Linked DNA regions of Caenorhabditis elegans. The protein of the gene in region 2 purifies or fractionates together with the protein of the main gene of each other region. This does not show direct contact. Each region holds a gene or a part of one and is shown on either strand. Other genes may lie near its edges.

Region 1 (3,833 bases), on a different chromosome or scaffold from region 2:
TCGAAAAAAGAGAATAAAATGAATAAAAACGAAACTTTGTTAGAGGGCGGAGACACACCGCAATGCCGCGGCACGCAGTTTTGCAACTTCACCGCACAGTTTTATTTTACGAGTTTTTAGCATTTTTTCCAGCAAAATTTGATTATTTGCCAGATTTCCTGATAAAATTAACGCGAAATTGTAGAAAAGCAGTTAAAATACAACCGTGCGGCAGTGTTGCGAATTCTAAGGGTTTATTTCGAGTAATAAATCTGAAAAACCTCTTGCTGGAGAAGCTTGGCGGCCTTTTCAGGCTTCAAATCCTCATGGATTTGATCCAAATCCTTTCCGGGACGTTTACGTGTCTTGTTCGAAATCGTGTGCTTCCTCTGTCCACCGCTCGGCATTTTTTGCTGAAATACTACTTTTGTTAAGCTTTGAATCTAGACAAAACAGCTGAAAAAGATAATTTCAGGCTCAAAAACCCTTATTTTAGTTGAAAATTTAAAGTTTCCGCGAGTAGATTTCGAAAATTTTTATTTTTTTGGGCATAGGGGAGGGAAAATGAAAATAAAAAGATACACGGGGCGCCCGATCTCGCCCAGCTTCTACTGCTGCTGAAAATTACAAATAAAAAAGATCGAACTTTCAGAGTAATGATCACCTATAAACAACTAAGCGTATAGTCATCAAGTATAGGGAGATATAATAACAAAGACAAATTATAGGGCGCGTGAAAACACAAAAAACTTGGGTGAGAGATGGGGAAGGGCACGAAACAGACAGCTAATTTACAATAACAGTGTAGACGGTTTTTGGTGGAAAAAGGAAGAAAAAAATAAAAGAAATAGACACATGAAAAATGACGGGAAAGAGATCTGTTCAGGCTTGTTGTGGAACTCCGATTAGGCCTTGTGGTGTCTCATCGCCTAGTCGAGAAGTTGATCCGGAGCTATGGAACAGCGAAAGCGAAGATCCAAGACCAAACATATGTCCACAGATCAATGGAGCAATCTGGTTCCAGTTGTCTCCGAAAAACTGCTTTTTGATCTTGAAAAACGTGGCGGCGGTCAGCAGTGCGTCGGATCCAGCTTGATGGCGAACTCCTTGTCGTTTCACGTCCAGCTGATCGGCGACCTCTTGAAGTCCTCCTTTCAGCTTTGCAGACGCGCAATTTGGAGTTCGGAGCAGGATTTTGATGTCGAAGCTGGTTGGGAAGAGAGTTTTGTGGCACATGAAGAACGTTGACTCTTCCTTAGGCAGATCTCCAAGTGTGATGCTTTTCAACAAATATCCAAAGTCGTAGCCGGAAGAGAACGTGAGCCATGTGATCCGTGGATCAGTGATGAGGCCTGACGTCGTCAAAAGTTCTCCGAATACTGCTGTCGGTATTCCATTGTTCTGGAAGAAAGAAATTATTATTAAAATATTGGAAAATCAATATTAAAAAAACCTGCAGCAATGTGAAGTCTATTCCGGCTTGCCGGAGCATTTCGACACTCTCATGCGAGAACATGTCTTCAGCGAAGGAGAAATTGAAATTGAACTGCCAAACATCGCCAGTCGGTGGTAGCTCTCCTTTGTCATTGACCATTGCAAAGCCCACTTGTATTAATTTCAGCATATTCACATTACAGAACACTTGCTGATAATTGAAATCTTCCTTGCTTCGAAATGTGCCCAACGGTGTCGCCACAACTCCGGGAAATTCTGTGTCCATTGCCACGTAGGGATAATCCTGAAAAAAAACCGATTTTTTAAAAATATTCAAACGATCGGCTGTACCTCGACGAATCCTCGAATCCTCGCGAATTCCTCCTCCACGTTTGACATATATACGTTGTGAATCTTGACTTCTGGTGCTCCACTTGCTCCACCTGCTCCACCTGCTCCACCACTGCTACTAGAAGCCATTTTTATGATATCTGGAACTAGAATTTTCGTTTTAGAGTGAACGCTTTTATTTTCGATTTTTTTAAACGAATTTATGGGACAGAAATCGAAAATAGCTTATAAAATAAATAAAATAATTTTTCCGCAAACTTTTAAAGCAGAAAAACGGGAGAAAAAGTCAGTTTGCAAAAGTTTTGAAGCGCAAAAGAAGTTCTTGAACGATCGATTTTGGATCGGCATTAAAGGCGCATGGAGTTTCCCAGCGGTGTGGGTCTCGCAGCGAACGGGAGAGAACTGCAAACTGGCTAGCTGCCAAGTGAGTTTGTTTTACGTGAAACTGTCGAGAAAACATCGTTTTAGTGAATTAAAATGTGTTTTTAATGAATTTTTCACTTATTTTCTTGATTTTTACCCTAAAAACATGAATTTTGTGCGTTAAAATGATGCAAATTCGAGTAAAATACGTATAGAATGCCTATTTTACTCATTTTACAAGATAATTCTTCAAAACACGAATTTAATTACTTTTTTGCAGGTAATAATGCTGAAGATCGCCGTCGCCCTTTGCCTTGTCGCTTCCGCTCTTTGTAAGTTGGAAAAATTAATAAATTCCCACACAAATTATTCAAATGTGTGGCTTGTATAAAAATAAGGCTCGATTTTTCGAATTTTAAGCGTAGATTGTTAACATTTAATACAAATAAAACAATAAATATTCCAGGCGCCAAGTGCGAGTCGCCAAAGTACTCGGCCTCGTCATTCTCCACTACCGACGGATTCTTCCACTACAAAACCACCTTCATCACCGAGTTCACACTTCAATGCAGCAACAACCCGAAGAATATCCAATACACTGCTGAAGTAAACGGTCGCCTTATCCCAGTCTCGATTTCCGACGAGACCGCCAAGTTCCAAGTCTCATGGACTCTTGAGCACAAGGACGCCGGAGCTCAAACCTTTAATATTAACATTTTCGACGAGGAGGGAGCCGCTCAATACGCCAAGAACCCTGTCACCAAGCCACTCTTCACCGTTCAACAAAGCCATGGGGTGAGAATTGCATCATTTTCACATAATTATCTTTAAAAATCATTTTTTGCAGGGTCTCGCCACGAAGTCTCCAATCTCTTCCGAGACTGTCGCCGTCATCATCGTCGTCATTGGCCTTTACTACGCCATTCGTCAAAAGACCGAACTTGTCCACTAAATATCATTGTTTTTATCCCCAAATTACTGGTCAACGCACGTTTGCGTGCTGGGTTTTTGTTCTTTTTGTTTTTATTTATATATACAAAATGTAATTTATTGATTTTTGCCCCTTTTTCCACCCCATTCGTGTATTTATAAGTTCAGTAGCCCCCAAATAGCCATAAATTGAAATTTAATTGCTAGACTGACGTAAAAAAAAGTTTAAAGAGTTGAGAGTGTAAATCCCCGGGAAACTTACTTTAGATAATTTTAAGACCCCCTTTAGGCCAAAATTTTCATTCAGGCAAAATGCTTTTGGCTCGATCCATAATCCGATGCTCGCGGAGCATCTGTTGTGCTCAATTCCAGACCCCATCAAGCTCACGATTCCTGCACACAAGTCGACAACTCCACGAGAAAGAGCCCACTCCGAAGAAGCCAGACGATCAAAAATGGAAAATGTTCAGAATGACAATGTCTGAGGAGCAAAAACTCGCAAAAACGGCGAAAATCGAGCAAATGAAGGCGGAAGAAGCGCCGAAAACGTTGTTCGCAAAAGTGAAATATTATTTTAAAAGATATTGGTATATCGCTGTGCCGGCTCACGCGGCATCGTGTACAGCATGGTTTATCGCATTGTATTTGGTGGTTAAAAGTGGAGTTGATGTGATTTCATTGCTCGAATGGCTTCATATGCCGGATGCTATCGTTGAAAAGGTCAAAAATACGCCCGAAACCGCCGGAGTTGTGGTGGTTTCGCTGATTTTGTACAA
Region 2 (5,116 bases):
TCCAATTCCTCTTTTTCCAATCTTTCTATACGTTTCAAGGGAGGCATATTCATTCTAGTTCTCGCAGCACTCTCCATTTCTCGCGTATACTCTAATGTAAGATTACTGTAGAGAATAAAGTGCAGCGAGACTATTCCGAATAGACACTTATCCAATGAAACTCATAGAAGTACAACACTTATAGTATAAGTGCTGAAGAGTAGAGATTGAAATCAAATTTATTTACAGATGCTGTTTCTCGTCTGTTCTGTTATTCTCACTGCTGCCGTATTGGTGAACTGCGGAAAATTTAAGGCTAAAAAAGGCGAGTTTACTGAAGTAATTGGGAGGAACTTACCTTTCATTCTCATTTTATTTTAAATACTCTGTGTTTTCAGTCGAAGAGGAGATTGGTGGGTCGATGATGTTCGCACCGAGAAGACCACCGCCAGGCGTGGAGGCTCGCCCCACAATTCCAACATCAATGGTTTACATGGAGAACGACGACGCCAACTCTACCTGGCGTCAACGAGAGGAAATCTTCGAATAATTTGTTTGTTGTTTTTGCGTAATGAATTATTTTAGTGTTGAAATAATTTTATTTAATTTTTAGAGTTTTCGTGTCCAAATTTATCTGGATTCATTAAATTCGAAAAAAAAAAACAAAACAATGAACAATAAACAGAAAGAAACAATAACACAACTGCATGAAAAGCAATAAAACAACAAAAAAGAAAAGAAAAAACAAAACTGGGCAATGATAAGGGTGGGGATGGCACAACATCGATCTTAAAATCGAAACGAAACCATTGCAACAGTTTAAAATATTACAAAACAACAGAACATAAGTGGGTGGGATGAGATTTATGGTGAGAAAGTTCGCATGAGCCTCAGGTTACCTTCCTCGATTCCATTCTTCTCCAACTCTAGACCATCGTGTTCGGAAGCAGTACTGAAGCAATCCGTCTTGAATGATTCATGTCCCGAAGATTGGAGTCCATAAATCGGATGAGTTGAACGGAGATGGGCAAGCGTCTCGATCATCTTTTTGCCGGATGAGAACCTGAAATTCGAATTTCAAAATATTATTGTGACAATAGTGATAACCTTGACAAGCGATGCCTTTCTTTCGTAACTCTCGAGTGCAACTTTTTGAGCCAAACTTGGAATGAGTTTGCATGGTCATAGCTCCCTTCTTTCGTTTGTCGTCTTCCAGACACAGCATCACAGCAAATAGTCAGCATGCATTGAACGACGTAGTTTCCGAATTGATGGAACATCATGATATCGAGAGCATCTTTTCCAGTGCCCCTGAAAAACAATTTAATTTTTATGTGACTGAAACGAAATTTTTACGGGTGTGGCATGTATCCGTCGAAAATCTCGTCCATCATTTCAGCAAGAAGTTCCATTGGTGCATGTAGGAATGCTTTCTCTACAACATGAGACGCAAACTTTTCCTGGGATAACGAAAGAAGATTGCGCCTGAAATATTAATGATTAAAAATCAAATATATATTAAACAACACTCACATGAGGCATTTCTCTATGATACATTCCCGATATACGGCCAGATCATCATTGGATACAATATGCTGTATTATGTAATTGGCATACTCGTTCGTAGCTAATTCTTGGCACCGATTAGTCACAGAAGTCATGAGGCGTTGGAGTGCTCGTTCACGAAGATGTTGAGCAGCGGAAGTTAAATCAACGTTTATTGAATCAGCAGTGAGTTTTTCGATTATAGTTTGCACAACACGGCACCCATACTTATCAAAACAAATCTGACGGAGGTGCTCTGGGGTTGCAACAAAATCCACGATAAACTCCCAATTCTTCAGTGGGATGACAGCTACGACTTTCTGAATGACGTGATTGGCATTTTGATCAACACAGATTGCGATAAGACGAGCATCACGAGGTAGAGCTTGAACAAGTTTACACGCAAGGGATAAATCCATGTTCTGGAGACTGGATTGGATAACACGACACGCAAATTTGTCCAAGCACATATCTGTCATTTGGGAACTGATGAAGTTCTTCAACTTTTCTTGTCGCTTTATGTTGTCGTCATCATAAGTTGTCAATGACATTCCAATGATTTCTTGTACGAAATAATTTCCAAAGATGTTCGTGCTCAATTTCTGAAAAGAAAAGTCGTGTGTGCTCGCAGAAACTAAAACTTACAAGGAAATCATCTTTTCTCCCAATAACTTGTTCAAACAATTGGAACTTCTGATAAGATGTCAGGCTGCCCTTCACGGCCTTTTCGAGGAACTGGCACCCAGTTTTGTCAACGGCAAACTTCATCAAATCGCCACTATCCAAAACTTCAGAGAGCGACAATCTTGAACGCATTTCACCATTGGAATCCAAGGACCAGGTTGGCAGCACATTGTTTGATCTTGTGAATGATCTAGAGTTCCTCGATAGAGCGGGTCTATAAATAAAACAGAATAAACACTTGAGGATAGTGATAAATTAATTCGAACCTCGAATATTTCAAATGGTCATTTTTCGAAGAACTATTGTTACGATCAATCTCGGTAGAGCAATATCGGACATTTTGTGAAAAATCGTCCGGCTCGAGACGCGAGGAATCCGTATCAGACTGAATGAATGATGAAGTTCGGCTACGCGAGACCGGCATGAACACATTGGGCTGCAAATCAGTAATGAAAACAACCAAAAATTAGCTACTCTAACTTACAAAGCTCTGAAAACTCCGGAGGCTCATCAAATCAGTTAGCGGGGTTGGTGGCCGCGATGTAACAATGTGATTCTGTTGATGGCGAGCATAATTCATCCCATCGTTCATATTGAGCATTGAGAAATACGGGTTGAGAGAGTTGAAGTTCCACATTGATGTCTCATGCTGCGCCATCGGCGAATGTGCGGGAGTATGATGATTTCCAACCTCTGTAGATGTGGGCTTTTGCGGAGTCTGTAAAATTTAGGCCATTTATCAATATTAATGGCTGAAAACCAACTTTTCTGAACTGATTTGTATAGCGCATTTTTGATTGGTCCATGTCGATTAGTTGATAATTTTATTCGAATGGTTACTTATAGAAAAACTATCAATTCACAGAAAATAGAGAATAGGAATAAGAAAATAATATTTCAAATTGAATTTGAGAATGACGAAAGTGTGTCACATACTCTGGTGTTTGCGTACTTTGTCATTGTCTACCGTATCCAAATTGAAATTTTCAAACAATGCGATTTGCTTATTTATCTCTCAAAATTTTAGCATCTCCATGGAGAGATATTCTCTGTTAAAACAGATAAAAAATTGTGGAATATTCCAGACCGTACCGTATAAAATTGATAAAACATTTAAACCTCCCGAAAAGCTATAACCAGTTGGCTCTCGCGAGACGCGAGGGACGATCGTCGTCGACGATCGTATGATTGGGATTGGTTTTTTTAAAATTAATTCATAATCACATAATTCAATTTCCAGAAGACTAAGTCCCCATAAACCTCTATAGAGTTGCATTAAATCTCCATATTCCGGATGATGTTTTGATATTTAGAATTTCAGAAAATATTGCATTGTATTTGGATGTTGTAGGAAGCTTAAGCTTCCTACCGTTTAACCATCTAAAACGCAAATTACGATTGTTTTTCAAACATATTGTTTATTTATAAACTAGAAAACAAAAAAATTCCAAAAAAAGTTACATTCGAATATTTGGGGAATTAACGGGATTAGAAGAAATTTGAGAATCACAATCATTATTCAGGATAACCTGTCAGGGGTATCGGGAAATATTGGTAAGTTTTAGATGGTTTTGGGGAAGAATGGGCGTTTTTGGGAGTTAATATACAAAATAGAAAGGAGAAGCAATAAATTAGATAAAAATAAGAAGAATTATGAGACATTCAAGAAGTAGAAGAAGCAATTGTCTATTGTGATCCAGAAAGGGCGGAGCAAACACTTCGAACATCCCAAATAATAATCACACGATTATGGCCACTGGTAACTGGCCCTCATTCCGAGGGGACAAACTTTTAGGGTGGCAAGGTATTTTTGGGGACAAAGTATCCAAAGTGACATGGTATCCAGTCGACAAAGTGCCATTTGTCTCTGACCGGGCGTATCTTCGGTGACAAACTTTTTCAACTAGTTTTTTTATATATATTTCTTGACCATTTTTTGTTCATATTTTACTGGAATAAGTTTTTAAATGCAATTTTCCATGGATTTTCGGCCTTGACTACTCACAATTGAATGCATGAACAATGATCTTTTGGGAAAATGCTGTAAAACGTCCAACTAACTTGGAATATCGTAAGATTCTTCGAGATGATGACGTCGGATCCTTCGGAGCTGAAGGATCAGAACATCAGGAAGAGCCTCGTGATCCTTTGGAGCTGAAGGATCAGACCATCAGGAGGTACCCTTACGATCCTTCTTATCTGAAGGATCAGAACATCAGAAGGTACCCATGTGATCCTTCGGAGCTGAAGGATCAGAACATCAGGAAGAGCCTCGTGATCCTTTGGAGCTGAAGGATCAGACCATCAGGAGGTACCCTTACGATCCTTCTTTTCTGAAGGATCAGAACATCAGAAGGTACCTATGTGATCCCTCGGAGCTGAAGGATCAGACCATCAGGAAGAGCCTCACGATATTCCAAGTTAGTTGGACCTTTTACAGCTTTTCCCAAAAGACCATCGTTCATACATTTAATTGTGAGGGAATTATAACCGATAATCGATTGAAAATTGCATTAAAAAACTTATTCCAGAAAAATGTGAACAAAAATTAGTTGAAAAATACATATAAAAATCTAGTTGAAAAAAAGGTTGTCACCAAAGATATGCCCCCCAAGATACACCCCAGTTTGTCTACTGGATACTTTGTCTCCTTGGATACTATGCCCCCAAAGAACCTTTGCCACCAAAAAGTTTGTCATCTCGGAATGAAGGCCGTTTGTTCCATAGTTTGTAGATATTTATGTTGCTCGAGAACTTCCGGAAAACAGGGAAAAACGTTTCATCTGCAAAGAAAGGCTCAGAAATTTCAGAATTTGATTTTAATTTTGAGTACGCCAGTCGGAGCACGCGCTTCAGCGCGTGCGAACGGCTGGTTTTTATATATTTAAACTCTCAACGTAAGTTGTTT

What was found.
Region 1: the proteins of fbf-1 (region 2) and ccf-1 purify together in Caenorhabditis elegans (affinity purification with western blotting, with the first as the bait; one study listed by BioGRID). This does not show direct contact.

The regions. Positions count from the first base shown.
Region 1 is NC_003281.10:11,918,328-11,922,160, forward strand, and holds ccf-1 (CCR4-NOT transcription complex subunit 7), read right to left. Parts: upstream 1,911-3,833; 5' UTR 1,894-1,910; coding exon 1,765-1,893; intron 1,718-1,764; coding exon 1,433-1,717; intron 1,381-1,432; coding exon 862-1,380; 3' UTR 501-861; downstream 1-500. Other genes in the region: znf-593 (Zinc finger protein 593 homolog), read right to left, coding at 261-386; trap-4 (Translocon-associated protein subunit delta), read left to right, coding at 2,414-2,459, 2,594-2,922, 2,975-3,079; Y56A3A.22 (DUF1279 domain-containing protein), read left to right, coding at 3,370-3,833. UniProt on the Caenorhabditis elegans protein: Catalytic component of the CCR4-NOT complex which is one of the major cellular mRNA deadenylases and is linked to various cellular processes including bulk mRNA degradation, miRNA-mediated repression, translational repression during translational initiation and general transcription regulation.
Region 2 is NC_003280.10:6,077,707-6,082,822, forward strand, and holds fbf-1 (Fem-3 mRNA-binding factor 1), read right to left. Parts: upstream 3,138-5,116; 5' UTR 3,015-3,137; coding exon 2,973-3,014; intron 2,927-2,972; coding exon 2,693-2,926; intron 2,645-2,692; coding exon 2,475-2,644; intron 2,423-2,474; coding exon 2,170-2,422; intron 2,127-2,169; coding exon 1,513-2,126; intron 1,465-1,512; coding exon 1,336-1,464; intron 1,291-1,335; coding exon 1,087-1,290; intron 1,043-1,086; coding exon 844-1,042; 3' UTR 557-843; downstream 1-556. Other genes in the region: H12I13.6 (uncharacterized protein), read left to right, coding at 229-304, 378-529. UniProt on the Caenorhabditis elegans protein: RNA-binding protein that binds to the consensus sequence 5'-UGUGCCAUA-3' in mRNA 3'-UTRs. Involved in the control of stem cells and sex determination in the C.elegans hermaphrodite germline.